2 linked regions of the Notamacropus eugenii genome follow. The protein of the gene in region 1 interacts with the protein of each later gene in a biochemical or structural test. Links are inferred from orthologs where the notes say so. Each region holds a gene or a part of one and is shown on either strand. Other genes may lie near its edges.

What was found. The genes of interacting proteins can lie anywhere in the genome.
Region 2: the proteins of NPR3 (region 1) and NPPA form a complex in vitro, tested with the Homo sapiens proteins (4 studies listed by BioGRID, with this or other methods). The link is inferred for Notamacropus eugenii from reciprocal best matches to the Homo sapiens genes NPR3 and NPPA.

What each region holds. Positions count from the first base shown.
Region 1 is NC_092875.1:427,905,309-427,914,018, forward strand, and holds the start of NPR3 (atrial natriuretic peptide receptor 3), read left to right. Parts: upstream 1-5,322; 5' UTR 5,323-5,795; coding exon 5,796-6,534; intron 6,535-7,286; exon of another isoform or gene 7,287-7,357; coding exon of another isoform or gene 7,358-7,376; intron 7,377-7,455; exon of another isoform or gene 7,456-7,531; coding exon of another isoform or gene 7,532-7,667; intron 7,668-7,720; exon of another isoform or gene 7,721-7,931; coding exon of another isoform or gene 7,932-7,992; intron 7,993-8,710. UniProt on the Homo sapiens protein: Receptor for the natriuretic peptide hormones, binding with similar affinities atrial natriuretic peptide NPPA/ANP, brain natriuretic peptide NPPB/BNP, and C-type natriuretic peptide NPPC/CNP.
Region 2 is NC_092876.1:51,274,928-51,282,111, reverse strand, and holds NPPA (natriuretic peptides A), read left to right. Parts: upstream 1-4,701; 5' UTR 4,702-4,798; coding exon 4,799-4,909; intron 4,910-5,046; coding exon 5,047-5,364; intron 5,365-5,582; exon of another isoform or gene 5,583-5,811; coding exon of another isoform or gene 5,812-5,871; intron 5,872-6,113; coding exon 6,114-6,119; 3' UTR 6,120-6,396; downstream 6,397-7,184.

The DNA.
Region 1 (8,710 bases):
GACTTTGGTGAGCCTTTATTGCGCCTTGCTCAGTAGCATCAAATTTAGTGGACATTATCAAAATTTAATAGAAGATGGAAAGCCATCTATATCCCATTAGAGAAACTATGTAGTTTCTATATAATCTTAACCTGTTCCATGATGCCAAGTTACATTTTCTTAATGGCAGTTGATAATTGATAATCAAAAGATAATTTAAAAATGTAATTTGTTGTGGTTGTAACAATGAAGAAGTATTGTATAATCTAAATACATGGGAGATGTGTGTGGGGGGGGAGATTTCCTATCAATTATATGAAAACTTTGCCCTTAGCTTGTAAATACTAAGACAGATCATGCCTGGCATCCAGATGGGTTAAATCACTTACTGTCTAAACATTTTCCATTAGATATCTCCAATATAATTCCTTTTTGGAAAGAAAATGAGCAAGGGGAAAAAATACAATTTGTAACTAATGTACACCTCGGAGAATAGTAAAAATTAAGCCCTAAGAATAAGAAATAGATGATCTCCTAGAGCCATGTGTTCATTGATTCCCACAAGGCCCTCCATTACAGCAATATCTGGTGATTTTTCATCATAAATTTAAGTAGAAAACATTTTCCATTTCTTGTGACTCTTGAAATAGAAGTATACAATAGAAGAAGTAGGGCCTCTGCTGAGGGGGAGCTAAAGCCTAAAGCTCAAATTCTTATTTAATGTTCTGGCATTTGCTGTATTTTTTCCACCTACAAGTTCTTTCTTTAATATAAACTACACATTAAAATGAAAATCTTAAACTAAATGACAGACATGTTCTTGAATTATGTGTTATGTTCTTTCATCTTTTCAGCCTCTAGGGGGAACTGTGTTTTCAGCAATCCTTTCCCCAGGAGGCATTCTGTGAATGAGCAGCAGGCTTCATAAGGATGTTCTTCAGTATTACTTGGAGCTGGTTAAATGAAGGGTGGAGGCCTTCCTTAAGAATTGAAGCTGGCTGCAAGATTTAACAATTACAACTGTGATTCCAATGATGGGTTACTGTAGAGAGAGTAACAATTGGTGGAGACAACCAATCTGTTTCTAATAGCCTTAAAAATGCTATCCTTGATAATCTCTATAGAATACTAGCTCCAAATGTTTTAATTATTACAGGAAGGATGTAGTATTGCCATAGTAGATAGTGTTTTGTTTTCATAGGTCCTTAAACAAATGATAAACAAATACTCTTTAGAAAAGTTGTTACCCTTGTCTTCTGGTTTCGTGATTTAAAATGTTATACACAATTAATTAAATGATTTCTAAATGTTATGACATTACTATTCATTTGTGTCACAAATTAAATATGGAGGCTGCATAAAGTATTCAAATAGTCCCCCCACCCCCAATTAATTTTATTCTGCTTTGGAGCATGTTCTCAACATCTATTCTGTAGTTTCATATGCTTTTCTGACAGGAGAGAAAAAATGTGCTTTCTCCTTTCAATGTTTCAAACAATTTCAGAGAAGCATAATTTTAAAATTGGATCCTTCAGGGATGTAATACTTCTATTTTGTAAATAATATTTGTCATTCATGTAATAAACATAGTACAGCATCCTATCACACCACAATAGCCTACATTTATATGGCTCTTTAACATTTGCAGAGTGATTTCATATAAAATCTTACTTGAGCCTCATAACAACCTTGATAGATAAATGCTATTATTATTCTCATCTTATAGAGGAGGAAACAGATGGAGGGAGGTTAAGCAATTTGCCCAAAGTCACAAGCTAGTAATCATTTGAGGCAGCACTCGAACTCCAAACTCTATCCACTGTGCCATCTAAACATTCTACGTATTATGGTTATTATTGCTTTTTTTAAATAAAGCGGGAAGCACCTCTCCTTGAAAGCATCATTACAAGAGAACTCCACTATATACAAAAGATTGTCTATTCTTTTACATGTTGGAATTTGGTTTACATATTGTAATTTGGCTCATATACCACCTATCAACAAATAATTCTAAATTTTGTCCATGGTCAAATGGTCAGTGTGTGTCCAAGACAGGACTTGAATCCAGATCTTCTCAACTCCAAGGCCTTCCCTAAATCCAGCTAGGTGGTGGTGCCTGTTTAAAACATGCAGGTGTGAGAATACAGACAAGTCACTTAACCACTCAATGTCTGCTGGAAGTAGTCTCCTAATCCAACTCTGTCACTATAAAAGAGAGACATATTATTGATCAGAATAGGTGGAGGGAGTTTCTGCACTCAAAATAGCTCACCGATCAAATCACAGGTTTGGACTAGTAAATAATCAAATAATTCTCAGAATATGAAAATGAATATGGAAATTAGAATTTTCTCATTACACAGAGATTTGGGGCTGTTCCCTGATGTTATATCAGGGGATGGGATTAGATGATTTCTAAGACCCATTCCAAGTTTAAGACATGACTTAATGTGTGTGTGTGTGTGTGTGTGTGTGTGTGCATAATGACAAGTCATATTTATACACTGATACTTATGTAAACTTCTTACTGGTTTTCAAACAGTAATTTGATATGAAGTAAATAATTCAACAACACTAAAATGTACATACTTTACCACTGATATTTATAATTAGTCCTTTACCTGATTTTATGCCAATTTCCGTTTGTCTAATACTGTTGATAAATCCCAATTTCTCTTCAACATTTTCTGAGGGATGTTTTGAAAAGGAGGAAATTGAATAATATAAACTACTCGTTTAATTATTTAGTTTATTGAAGTACAGTATGCAAAATTTCTCCTTAATTTCTTTTATCTTTTAGATTCCTTTAAAAGTTTACAGATGGGTTATACACTCAAAATGAGGCATTCCCATTCAAAACCTCCAAACTGAAAGCTCTGGTATTAAGCTGAACTTAAATGCACTGCCCTGACAATGACCTCCAGGCTAAGTTGAGAAGACCATCTATCTGTAAAGTGAGAGGCAATTCACTCATGCCATTTAAACCCTGGGCCTCTCTCTTTAAGACTTAAACAACAAACTGGAGAATTACTTTGCCTTTGACTGTGCTCATCCTAGGAAGCCATAATATGAAGAATAGGATATTTCATATTCTTTAGGATCTTCAGCTTAAAATGAGAAATTCATTCAGTCTGGAACTTAGTTGTTGATTTCCTTCAAAAACCCTATGTCTAAAATTGTCTAATAAAGTGCATTTGCAATTATTCGGTTGTGGATCTTGTCCTGGTCCTTTGCTTGGGATAAGGGGCATAAAGAGGAGGAGTGTTCATTCCGTTGTATAGTGAACTCCCATTACAGAAACTCTTTCTACCTTTACTAATTGACACCTCTACAATCAGATTCTGATTCTGGGGTTCAAAGCTATACATTGATTTACTGGGCTACAAAGAGTCAGGGGCAAGGCTTAAACCCATATGTTCTAGACTTTAGAGCCAGCTCTTCAGTCACTATTCCAGGCAGCCTCTCTTGCTATTAAATATTAGGTGAAATTAAAATATTTTAGAGTGACTTTTAAGTAGTTTTAAATTTTAACATACTTTATTTTCCACTAATTACATGTTAAAATAACTTTTTGACATTGATTTTTAAAAAAAAAAGTTTTGAGTTTCTAATTTTATCCTTCCCTTCCTTCCCTGAAGTAGTTTTTTTTAAATAAGAGATTTCAAAGGAGTAGGAGACAGTTTATTACTTAAAGTTAGATTCTGAGATTAGATTGCAATTAACTTCAGTTAAGCATACTTTCTATTCTTTCAATTAGCATAACGAAGAGTTGTATTAATTAGTTCAGCCAGAGGAAAACAAAGTTATCAGGAAGCACTTAATTATAAATACAAATAGAAACAAGAATTCTAGTCTGGGAGACAAAAATGCAGAGCCTGGAGCAGTGGTGCAAAGGTTACCAGCCATATTAATTTTTCTGCCGAAAGAGGGCGTTTTCCTGGGATTAATAGGGGGAAAGCTTTAAGTTTCTTTAAAGTTAAGTGAAAGTATTCAAACGAAATTCTGATGGTTAGTATTTTTCTAATTTGTGGAATTAAATTTTTTTAATCTCGTAGAGGTAGTGAAGTACGTGACCCAAACAAATAATGTTTTACGTGTACATATACCAAGGATAAGAATGCTGAATTCTATTTGAATACGCATGGAAAGCATGGATTTCCTGACTTGATAGTCAGGCCACTGCCTTGTATGAAATCCTTTCCATTCCTGCCTTTTGACTTGCAAGAGATCAGGACTTCGGACCTGTTATCTTTCTTTCTTCAGAGCTGCATCCTCTTTTGCAAAGGTGGGGGAATGAAAGATCCCCTTTATGTGCCCATAAAGTCCTGCGGACGTTTTTTGGGCGGTTTGCAAACATTTGCCATATTCCAACTGCCTATGGAGAAGCGGAATCACGGGCTGGAAGTCACCCTCTGCAAGCAAAAAGTTTCGCTTCCCCTCCCCCCCACCCCACGCGCTCTTCTTTGGGAAAGCGCTCCTTGGTTTCACTTGGTCTTCACTCCTGGGAAGAATATATGCAAAGAGAAGCGCCCGCGCACTCCGGAACCAGAGGAAAGGCAGAATCTGCATAGGTGGAAAAAACGGGTAAGTGGGGAAAAGGCTTAAGGCAGTTTCTGCCGGGAGAGCATAGGATGCGGGCCGACCTCCAGAAATTGGGCTTGGCTAGCTTGTGTCCCAGGTATGTAGAGGACGCCGGGATACTGGATTCGCCTAGGTCACTTAAGAGCTGTGAAAGCAAACTTTTTTCTTTGGGCTCCCCAACTCAAATGCCAAAGACCTCTCAGCCTCAATAGAGCTCTGGATAGTAGAGACAGATAGACAGTGGGCGACATAACTCCTCCTCCGGACTTAGGGACCCCCTCCTCCCCCTTCAGTTGCATTGCCTGAAAGAGAGGGAAGGAGAGAGGGGAAAGAGGAGAACGCGCGCGCTCTAACGGGGAGACCCCCGAAGTTTCCTTGCCAGTAAAAGTCAGACGAGATCTTGATTAGTTGTTACTTTTGCTTGGCGCTTGTGTATTTATTTGCAAATTAATTGTATAAGGATCTTTAGTCAGTAGCTTTTGAGCTGAAGCGGTGGCGCCTGAATTGAGCTGCTGTGTTTTGGAGCGAGTTGGAGAACAGAAAAGGCGCGTGTGCACTGTGGATATGAACTGAGGGGAGATGAGTGTGTTACGTGTGCTGCAACTTTAAGAAAAAGGTCGGGGTGGTGGGTGGATTGAGGTTGGGAAGGAGGGAGGGAAGGGGTGTGGGGAGGAGTCCTGATGTAAGAATGCTAATGAGAGGCTCCCCTCCAACCCCCCGTCAACCCCCCACCCTACCCGCTCGAAATACAAACCCGTTCTCGCAGCTCCATGTGTGGTAACAGGCTCGTCCGCTACCACACTATTTAAACAGAGGATATGTATCAAGGAGCAAGGGAGAATCAATGAGATCAAACGGGAGGCAGATGCTCCGTCAATTACAATCACTTGGACAAGTTTAATTTTTTTTTTTTTTTGCAAGCCATTCTTTCAAAATCAATCTCAACAACGTCCAAAAAAAAGAAGTCACCTCTAGGCAAAATAGTATATAGGAGGAAAGAGAAATATCTATATAACATACTATAGGGTCATAGGTGTAAACTTAAAAAAAACTGGTAACATTTTAGAGAAGGGCCCTTTTTCCCGTCACTTGACGGTAGAAGGGGAATTCTGTTTTCTTAGGGCACCCAAGGGGGCGCAGGGACTAAGGAGGTAGAGGAAAGGGAGGGGGAGAAGGAGGAAGGTGGTGGGAAGAAGACGGGCTAAGGTGAGTGACAGAGATTGCTCTTCAGCGCAATGCCATCCTTTTTGTTACTCAGTTTCTCTTCTTGCGCTGTGCTAAGCTGGGCGCTCCTGGCAAGCGGCGGCAGCAGCAGCGGAAACCGAGGCGGCGGGCTCCCTGTGGTGGAAGAGACGCAGAAGATCGAGGTTCTGGTGCTTCTACCCAAGGACAACGCTTACATGTTCTCCTTGGCCAGGGTCAAGCCGGCCATCGAGTACGCGCTGCGTAGCGTGGAGGAAAATGGGACTAGGAGACAGCTGCTTCCACAGGGCTACAGCTTCCAGGTGGACTATCAGGATTCGCACTGCGGCAACCAGGCACTCTTCAGTTTAGTTGATCGAGTGGCAGTGGCCCGGGGGTCTAAACCGGACTTGATCCTGGGCCCGGTCTGCGAATATGCTGCAGCACCTGTGGCCCGGCTGGCGTCGCACTGGGACCTGCCCATGCTGTCTGCCGGAGCTCTCGCGGCTGGCTTCAAGCACAAGGAGAGCGAGTTCTCGCACCTTACCCGTGTGGCACCCGCCTACGCCAAGATGGGAGAGATGATGCTCGCCTTGTTCCGGCATCAGCAGTGGAGCCGAGCTGCCCTGATCTACAGTGATGACAAGCTGGAGCGGAACTGTTACTTCACCCTGGAGGGGGTCCATGAGGTCTTCCAGGAGGAGGGTTTGCACACATCCGCCTACAGCTTCGACGAGACCAAAACCCTAGACGCTGAAGAAATCGTGCGCTACATCCAGGCCAGCGAGAGGGGTGAGCTAGAGGAACGTCCCCATCTAGTGTACCTTTTAGCCCTCTCCCATCCCGCATCCCAACCCTCTCTATTCTACTCCTTGAACATTGTAAGGGCACCCCAACTTTTCCCCACTTTCCCTGGCGCTGGGAATGCGGAAAGGGGTGAAAGGGATGGAGATATGCAAAATGTAACTGCAGAAGTCTAATCATTCTAGCTTTGGGATGAGCTTTTTCCACTGGCCCATGTATAAGCCCTCTCCACCTCCTTGGTAGAGGACGAGGAAATGTGTAAGGGCATAGAGGGGTGTAGGTGGGGAGATAGGAAGGAAATCTATTCTCTTTCCTTCCCTAGGTCTGGGGAGGGGAGGGGAGAAGCGCAAAGACCGGAGGGTTTTCCTGTCCTGAGGACTTATCTTGGCTTTCCCTTTCCCTTCCTCTCCCTTAAAGTTTGTGCAGTGTTGGTTAGCTTTCCTAATGCCCCGTTTTAAGTGCTTACCCCCTTCCTCCCCCCTAGTATGCTTGTCAAGTTGTCCCATTTCCCTTCTTCCAGCTACTATTCTATTTCCTTTAAAAAGCTCGATTGTATTGATTTTTCCTCATCCATCTCCTGGGTCTTCCTCCCTTCGCCCACTCCACCCTTCTTAACAAATACGTTTCCTGGGTTTCCACTCAAAATGCGTCGTTGCGTCCTGGCAACAATCAACATCCCCTTTAGATTCCTGAGTGTTTCCATCCCCGAAGATTCCAAATAGGGGCATCTTCAGGTCCCATACTTGCTGGAGAATCACTCGGAGGTACACATGGTTCCGACTGTAATAATAATTTGCTTCTTAATAAACAAATGCCGAAATTGGCAAGAGGTGAGAAATGAGTTACGTGAGTTGGTAGGTGCGAGGGAGAAAAGAAGGGGTTTCAACTTCTTGACCACGAATTTCAGGGGAGAAAGTGAGATTTCCCGGAGAAATCAGGCAGGGTGCCTAACCATATCCGGATAAGGGCACAATGCGCCAAGGGGATGTCGTCAGCTAATTCTAGAACACAGAGCCACCTCTCCGCCTTCCCCTTATGCCATTGCGCCTGGAATGTAGGTGGTGAAATCTTGGCACTCTCAGCCCTGGGAACGAGACACGTGAGACTCGGGCCCTCTAAAGGTGCGTAAGCTGGCAAATACATTTACCGCGGGTGTGGTTCCGCACACCTGAGCGCTTGGCTTGCGGAGCTTGGACTGAGAAGCACGGGCGCGTGGCCTGGAGCAGTTTCTGGCCCAGCCTCCGCACTTTGTCACCAGAATCCCGAACAGGTGGGAGGACTGCAAGAGGCAGAGGTGGCAGTGTGAGCCGTGCAGTTGATAGCTTAATATAGGGCGCTGGGCAGGTGGACCTCGTAGTCTAGATGGAAGAAGGGGAGGTTCTGGAATGCGAAATACGTGGCCCGAATCAAGCTTTTTCCATGTACATCTGCCCAGGGCCTGCCTAGGTAGGTACATGGGGCTAAATGAACGCTTAAGCCTTTAAGGTATACCATTGAAATACAGACATGTATATGTACAATACATACATATATTTACATATCACATACACACACACACCACCATGGATGGCGCCCAGCCCATTTAGCCAGGACCTTGAGCCGGCCCTCTCTCGGTCTGCACAAACCTCAGGCTATCCAGATTCGTCGGCATTTTTCTTGCCCTGTGGTGTATGGAAGAGGCATTCTGATCGAACTGCTTGCCACACATTTCCTACCGACCACACCCAGGACGTGAAAATAAACCCCTCCCCCTTTCTTCCCCACCCGGACCTGGCAGATCTCTCCCAAAGAGACTTGTAGCCCCGACGTCAGGACGGGCAGTAGAAGGCTGCGGGAATAAATATGAAACCAACAGGCGGAGAGGTCTCTGAGCATCAGCCCCCGCCGCCTGACTCCTGTGAGCGGCGCCAAGCTGAACACCAGAGAGGGCAGGGAAGGGACAGATGCGTGCGTCTGACTGTCTGCGTGGATGGCAGTAGCTGGCAATACTGACTCCCTCTGGGCTGCTGCCCAAGTTTACCTCAGATTCTCGAAATAGGCATGATTTTTGCCATGTAAAGGTGGGCTTTGGATGCCCCAGCAGGGCCTTTTGGGGAGTAGGGGTGGGAATCTCTATGGAACATTTTCAATCCCATGTGAGTAGTATACTTCCACTTTTAAATTC
Region 2 (7,184 bases), on another chromosome or scaffold:
CTTCTAACAAACCCAGCCCCCTTTCTCTGCAGCTCCATGCCTGGTTCTGTCCTCAGGACCAAGATATATCTACTTTCTGCTCCACATGTCGGCTCTTCACACAATTGAAGATCAAGAAGCATTTTGTAAACTACAAAGTGCTGTAGGGACATGGACTTTTCTCAGTTGATTTCCATATGTGTGTGATATCGATGACATTTACTATGATAACAGTTGCTCCTAAGGAGGAGCTAAGAGCAACTCCAAAGAAGGCAAGAAAGCACTGAATCAGTAAGATCTGCCCTCCAACTCATCTCTGCAGCAAATGACCTCCTTTGTTCCAGGGCATAAAAATACGGCTAATATTTTTCTATTCAGATGCCAGAAGGGAAAGAAAAGGCTGATGTCCAAACCTTTTTGCAATCTCTCCCTCTCCTTCTTACAACATGGCTTCTTGAAAATCTCATTGGTCATTAATATACCATACAACGTTGAGAAAAGGCGAGGAAAGGAATGGAAAGTCAAGTCACACAATTCTCCTGGTTGGAAGCCCCAGAAGAAAAATTGATGGGTAGGGGGAGGAGGTTAAAGCTAATGGGAAAATGAAATTCTAAATCCTTCATTCTGAACTTAGAGTCAAGAAGGAAGACAGGCCAGAATCTAGCATTTATCATATACCTCCTAAGAGCCAGACACTGTGCTAAGTAATTTGCAAATATTTCATTTGATCCTCACAATAACTCTAGGAGGTAAATGCTATCATTATACAATTAAGGCAGTCAAAGTTTAAGTGAGGTCACCCAGCACTGACTGCCAAATATTATTGTGAGGATCAAATGTGATAAAATATATAAAGGACTATGTAAGTTGTAAGCACAATTAAATAAATGGTAGTTATTTTGGGGAGAGATATAGCAAATGTGCAAATAACTATGGTGAATGGGAGAATTTGGTAAGTCCTTAAGAGGCACAAAGTACTTGGAGAGATCCAAGTATCTTTATGGCTTGAGTTTGGGGAAAGAAGGAAGGGTTCAGGGAGGGGATGGTGTTTGAAGTTCTTCTGGAAGGATGAGTAGGACTGAGATGAAGTGGGCATCTTCCAGACACAGCCAGGAAAAGGAGTAACCACAGAGGTGTGTTTGAGACATAGGAAGCCCAGTGAGCCCAGTGTAACTGGAGTGTGTGGAGAGGGGATTGTATATGGATCTTGATTATCTGTGATTTCCCTGCCTCTTCTGCTAATAAACAGTTGACAGGTGGGCTTTAAATCAATATTCATGGTAACGATGCAAGACAAGCTATTTGTTTCCCCATCTGAAAAATTTTGGAATTAGATGAGATAATACCTAAGGTCTATTCCAGATCTTAATCCAAAAATCCCATCAAGTTTTATTGTCTTTCCATATACTAGCTCTCAGAGAGGAAAGAAGTCTTCAGGAAAAAGAAAATAGATTCTGAATAATCTGGAACCTTGGACAGTGACTTCTGCTTTTACCCCAAGATGCCTGCAAAAGCAGCTGGAGAGGGGGAGGGGTCAGGGAAGGGAGGGTGGAAAGAAGAGACTGCCCTATGTCATTTCTGGTATGCCATTTGCCAAGATAACACCCACATCAGAGGGCTGTCTCAGAAGGGCAAGGACAGGGCAGGCTGACATGCTTAGAAAGAATTACTTCTCGGAAACACAGCTTCTTGTCAAACTAGCCTTACTAAAAATAACCTGACATGCACTTATGACTTGAATCATGCAGCATCATTAGGAGAATGTTGTCTTTGGCCTACCAAATTCCAACTGAAAATGGCTCAATATTGTATTCTTCATCAATGGGGATCTAGGTGGATTGAGTGTTGGACTTGGAGTCAGGAAGACCTGAATTCAAGTGGGTCACTGGGCAAGTCACTTCACTTTCTCTGTTTCAGATACATCGTCTATAAAATGGGAATAATAATAGCACATACTTCTCAGGTTTTTGTGTGGATCAAATTAAATAACATGTAGAACACTTTGCAAACCTTAAAGCATCACACAAATGCCAGTTATCTTCCTCCTCTTCATCATCATCTTCCAAAGCCCTGAAACCCACTGGTCAAGTAATTTTACTGAGGATTATAGCAATGCAATTCAATCTTTATTAGAAAAATATTAGATTTCATGAAGAAAATTGGGATATTTAGCCTGGATGAGGGAATAAAACTCAGGAAGACATGACAATTATCTTCTGGCATTTGAGGGATTAGTCTTGCTCCCAAGAGCAGAACCAGGAAATATGGCTGAAAGCTGAAGTGAGGCAACTTTAGGTTTGATGCCAGGAAAAACTTCATGACAATTAGAGTTGTTTGAAAATGGAATGAACGGCTTCAAGTCTTCAACTGGAATCTAGAGGATGGCTTTGCAGAGATCATGCAAGTGAAGGTTTCTTTTATTCAGATATGAGTGAGATTAGCTGGCCTCTAAAATCCTTTGTAAATGTCAGATTTTGTGACTCCACAATACAAACAAGCTCACAATACCTAACTGACCTGGTCATGGTGTTCCATGAGAAGCAGGGATGGAACAGGATCAGTTCTTCATTTTATAAACAAATTAGCACCATGGAGAATTTCTCCAAATCTAACCAAAAACTAGGATTAAGTACAAGGTCTATCAGTTAACATGTTTTTAGACCATCCATGAAGCATATAACAATGTGCTAGGTGTGTTTGTACATGTGTGTTTGTCCTTTGTTGTCAAAGAAGACCATGCCATCAGAGAAATAATGACATGACTTGCACTTCACTTTGTCTTTTTTCTTTTTTGAGAGAGGGAGGGCTGTGCAGGTCACCAGCCTCACTTTTCCTCCAGAGCCACCTGAATCAGGATGACTGGAGATGACCCAGGAGGAGAAAATTGGGGTTAAGTGATTTGCCCAAGGTCACACAGTGAGTGTCAAGTGTCTGAGGTGAGATTTGAACTCAAGTCTTTCTGACTCCTGCACTGGTGCTCTATCCACTGCACCACTTAGCTGCCCCTAGGATGAATGAGTACATAACGACTACACAAAACCTCCCCTCAGGAGGTTTACAGTCTAATAGAAGAAGGTAGGAAAGACCCCACAAAGGTAGGCAGCCATTGCAAGAGTGACAGAAGGACTGATGATGGCTAATTTTAGACCATGGCTCATATCAGTCAAGGAAAGCTTCCTGAAAGGAGGGGCACTGTGTGGGTTAGACTAGATGGTCTCTGATGTCTCTTCCAACTCTGAGATTCTGTGATTTGGGCTGCTGGGTAAAAGGTTCTGGATTCTCAAATCTCAATCAAGTGTCCTAAACACATTTCTTGTAAGTTATCCCTCCCAATTAGTATTCTTCCTTAAATACACTTGCTTTGCTCACTGTAGGTAATTAATAAGTGACTACTGAATTAAAGATGTATCATGGTACGGTGGACTTGGAGTCAGAAACACCTGGGTTCAGATCCTACTTCAGACACTTACTAGCTGTGTGACCCTGAGCAAGTCACTTCACCTGTCTGCCTCAGTTTTCTAATCTATAAAATGAACATAGTGGACTCACTAACTTTTAATGCTTTTTTCCACTCTAAATCTATAAGCCTAGGAAGTGCTAATGTCTAGTACAGTGCTAAACAGTTTGTAAAAATTTCATATTGATTGAACCTTGTTAGTTTTTGACTGAGAAATGGGGGTCCAAATGTCTGTCACTTGCCTGCACCAACTGATGTGAGGTAGAGAAAGATCTAGGAGACTAGTATGTGCCACAAAGGGCTCTCCACATTGGCCCACCCCATTGACTTTTTTTTTTTTTTCTGGCAAGGCTAGAACTCAATACAAGTTTCAGACTTTTGATTTAATAGCTTCTAGGATACCACATGGCAATGGAATGATGATGGTGGCTTTTTCTAGGTTCATAATCATTTCTATCAACACCTTACAAGAGGGAAAAGTGATGGAAGAGTAAGGGTATGTATTGTGGGTGGTGAGTGGGGGATATTGACTTCAGGAAAATATTCTCTGGTGTTGATATGTGGGAGCAGAATGATTAGGATGTTTCTCCCATGGGGTGTTTCTCACATTCTATCCTTGGTGCTGACTTCACAGTCTTTATGAGAAAAAACAACAACTCACCTCTGCTCTACCCAGCTGCTTGGAACCATAGCCACAGTTGGGAACTCACATGCAGGAGAAAGAATCTGAATTAAGTAAGAAAGAGTATAAAATTGTCCCAAGCATCCAGGCTTGTCTGTGTCAGCTTGAACTCTTTCTCTAGGTTGAAAGTTGCCTGTAATTTCCTTCTTTCTTGTCCTTATTTGGACCTCCCTAGCATTCATGTAACAAGCTTGGGGAGAGATGGGTACTGGCCAGCCATCCTGTTTCCCTAAATTGTTTCCACGGCAAGGAAGCAAAGAATCCTGAGGCATCTTTGTGAGATAATCAAGGATTTTTTTGGTTCCTCTCACACCTTTAAAGTGTGAAACCTCTTGAGCCAAATCAACAAGAATGTGACTCTTGCAGCCTAGGGTTCCTGAGGCTGTGACAACCGTTGAAGTGCAGAAGCCACCTCTACAATGAGGTTGTGACAGTCTGCACTGGACTGATAACTTTAAAAGGACATCTTCTGTTGGCTCACTCCAGTCCTTTATCACTGCAAGTGACAGAATGGGGAGGGGTACATCCCTTGGGCGGTCTCAGGGTGCTGGAGGGGGATATAAAAAGACAAAGAGGCAGACTGGGAGGCATAAGACAACAGGGTCAGAAGACCAAGAGCGAAGAGGAGACAGAAGAGACAGCAAGCATTTGACTGACTGATATTGACGACCAATCACAGCATGGGCTCCTTCACTACCATCTCCATCAGCATTCTCCTCCTTTTGACCCTGCAGCTTCAAGGTCGAACCAAAGCCAGTCCTGTGTCCAATAATGACCTGGTGGATTTCAAGGTAGGACCAGAGAGAGACTTGTCAGGGACAATAGAAACCAGGGGTGGTATTTTGGTACGGTTTTGATTTTTTGGTCACTACTCCCCAATGTAATGAACTCATAAACTCCTCTCTTTGTTCCCTTTTTGATTTTTTAGAATTTGTTGGACCGCCTGGAGGACAAGATACCTTTAGAAGATGAGGTCATGGCCTCACAAGGACTTAATGAGCAGAATGAGGAGGCTGGGGAAGCACTTAGCTCCCTCTCTTCCTGGAGTGGGGAAGTCAGCCCAGCCCAGCGGGAGGGAAACTTCAACCGGGGCACTTGGGAGCAATCTGAGAGATCTGCCCTCCTGAAGAATAAGCTTCGGGCACTCTTGACTTCCCCTCGTAGTCTGAGGAGGTCCTCCAGCTGCTTTGGGGGCAGGATTGATAGAATAGGAGCCCAAAGTGGACTTGGCTGCAACAGTTTTAGGGTAAGGAGATCTGGAAATGGGTTAGGGAGAAAAGAGACATATGCTATGCTAAAATTCAAGCAGAGGTAGAGGGGTTCACTACCAAGTGAAATCCTCAGCAGGTGCAGGGACTAGATACATATCTCCCTTTGAAATATATCATTCTTGCCTTTGGGACTATCTGTAACTACAAAACTGTAACAGTAATGCTTGATTCTCCAAGGGGGTATCACCAGATGTATTAGAGAATTAAAACTTCCATAGGACCAGATTGTTTTATAATGTGAGGGGCTTTCATTTATTTTCCTTTCTAGAGTTATAAAATTAAAGGGTCAAATAGAATGAGTTGGTGGTGGTGGTGGTCCTTCATTTTTGAAGAGGGTCAATGACATTATGATGTAAATGAAGCAAATAATAAGGTAAAATAGTGGATGATGGTTGACCTCTTGACTTGCTTGTGAAGTGGATTTAAGTGAGGCAGAGTTGCACAAAGTCATCAGCTTCACTCTTTTCCAGAGTCACCAAAGTCTAGAATAAAATAGAATACATAAGGATTTCTTTAATTACCCTTTATGGTCTGAACTGTCTGCTAGTTCTGGAAGCCCAGAGGATCCACTTTAATATGCTAAGGAAGAGTGGTTTAAGAGATCAAGGATAAAGGGTGTTTTTTGTCCATTTTATACCTGCTATCCATTCCAATCTCATGTTACCTTCTCTAGGTCATCTAGCTGGGATATTGCTAACCAAATATGTTTGTCTTCTCTTTGTAGTTCTGAAGATAATGTACAAAGAGGAAAACACGTGCTGGACCCTGTCAGATCAAATCCTTTGGGACTTTGGCTCTATTTTGTCCATTTGTTATTAGCAAACTGGGCTTTGTGCTCCTGGTTCAAGCTACAGCTTTCTTTTGCTGTTTCACAAATGTAATTTTGAATGTAGACAAAATGGTGTGATGGTGTGATGGCGTTATGGCGGTTTTTGTCCATTCATTAGATCTGAGTTTAAATTCTAAGCAGTTCAAGAATGAATAAACTTCAGCACCATGGACAGAAACAGCCGCGGGCTGGTGTGATTCTTTGTTTCCTACAGGGAAACAGTGGGGGAATTCAGGTCTATTCCGACTATTATACTGCCTGCAAAATTTTCTTTCTTTCTTTCTTTTTTTTAAAAATCACTTAGCCAGAGAGTCACCTCTCATCATATCTGCGGAGGCAAAGAAAAGCCATAATGGCTATTTATTTAGACCGATTCGAGTGAAGTTTTCTCGAGGCTAATGTAGTTCATATCTAACATTGTATGGTTTTTTCTTTTCCCATGCAATTCCTCATCATTTTTTGACATACAAGTTTTGGGGCACATGTTTCTAATGAGGCAATTCTGAGAGCTGACTGCTGGGGTTGGTCTGGTTTGGCACTATTTTTGGTTACTAGATAGAACTAGAATTGAAGGAAGAATAGAAGAATAAAAACATTTACTAAGTGTAAATGAGGTTTTAAAAAGGCTTACTAACCTCCTGGATTTTAACATCTAAACTTTAAAATATAATCACCATTCCATCTTCATGAGAGAGCTAGAGGCCTGAATTATTAGGCTCTAACAAGTGTCCTTGTAAAATAGCAGGCATTTCTCAGGCAGCAGACATTGGCTGGAGACATGGGTTAACAGCCTTGTTCTCAGTAAGTACGGAAATTTGGAGAAAAAAAAGGATAAGGAAATGCAGTAGCCATTAGTCTCCGTGTTGGATGGAAGACAAAGACGGGACAGGGGATGTGAGCTATCCTATCCACTTCATCACGAACAGCAGGTTGAACATGATGAGCACTTATGACTGAGAGCCAAAA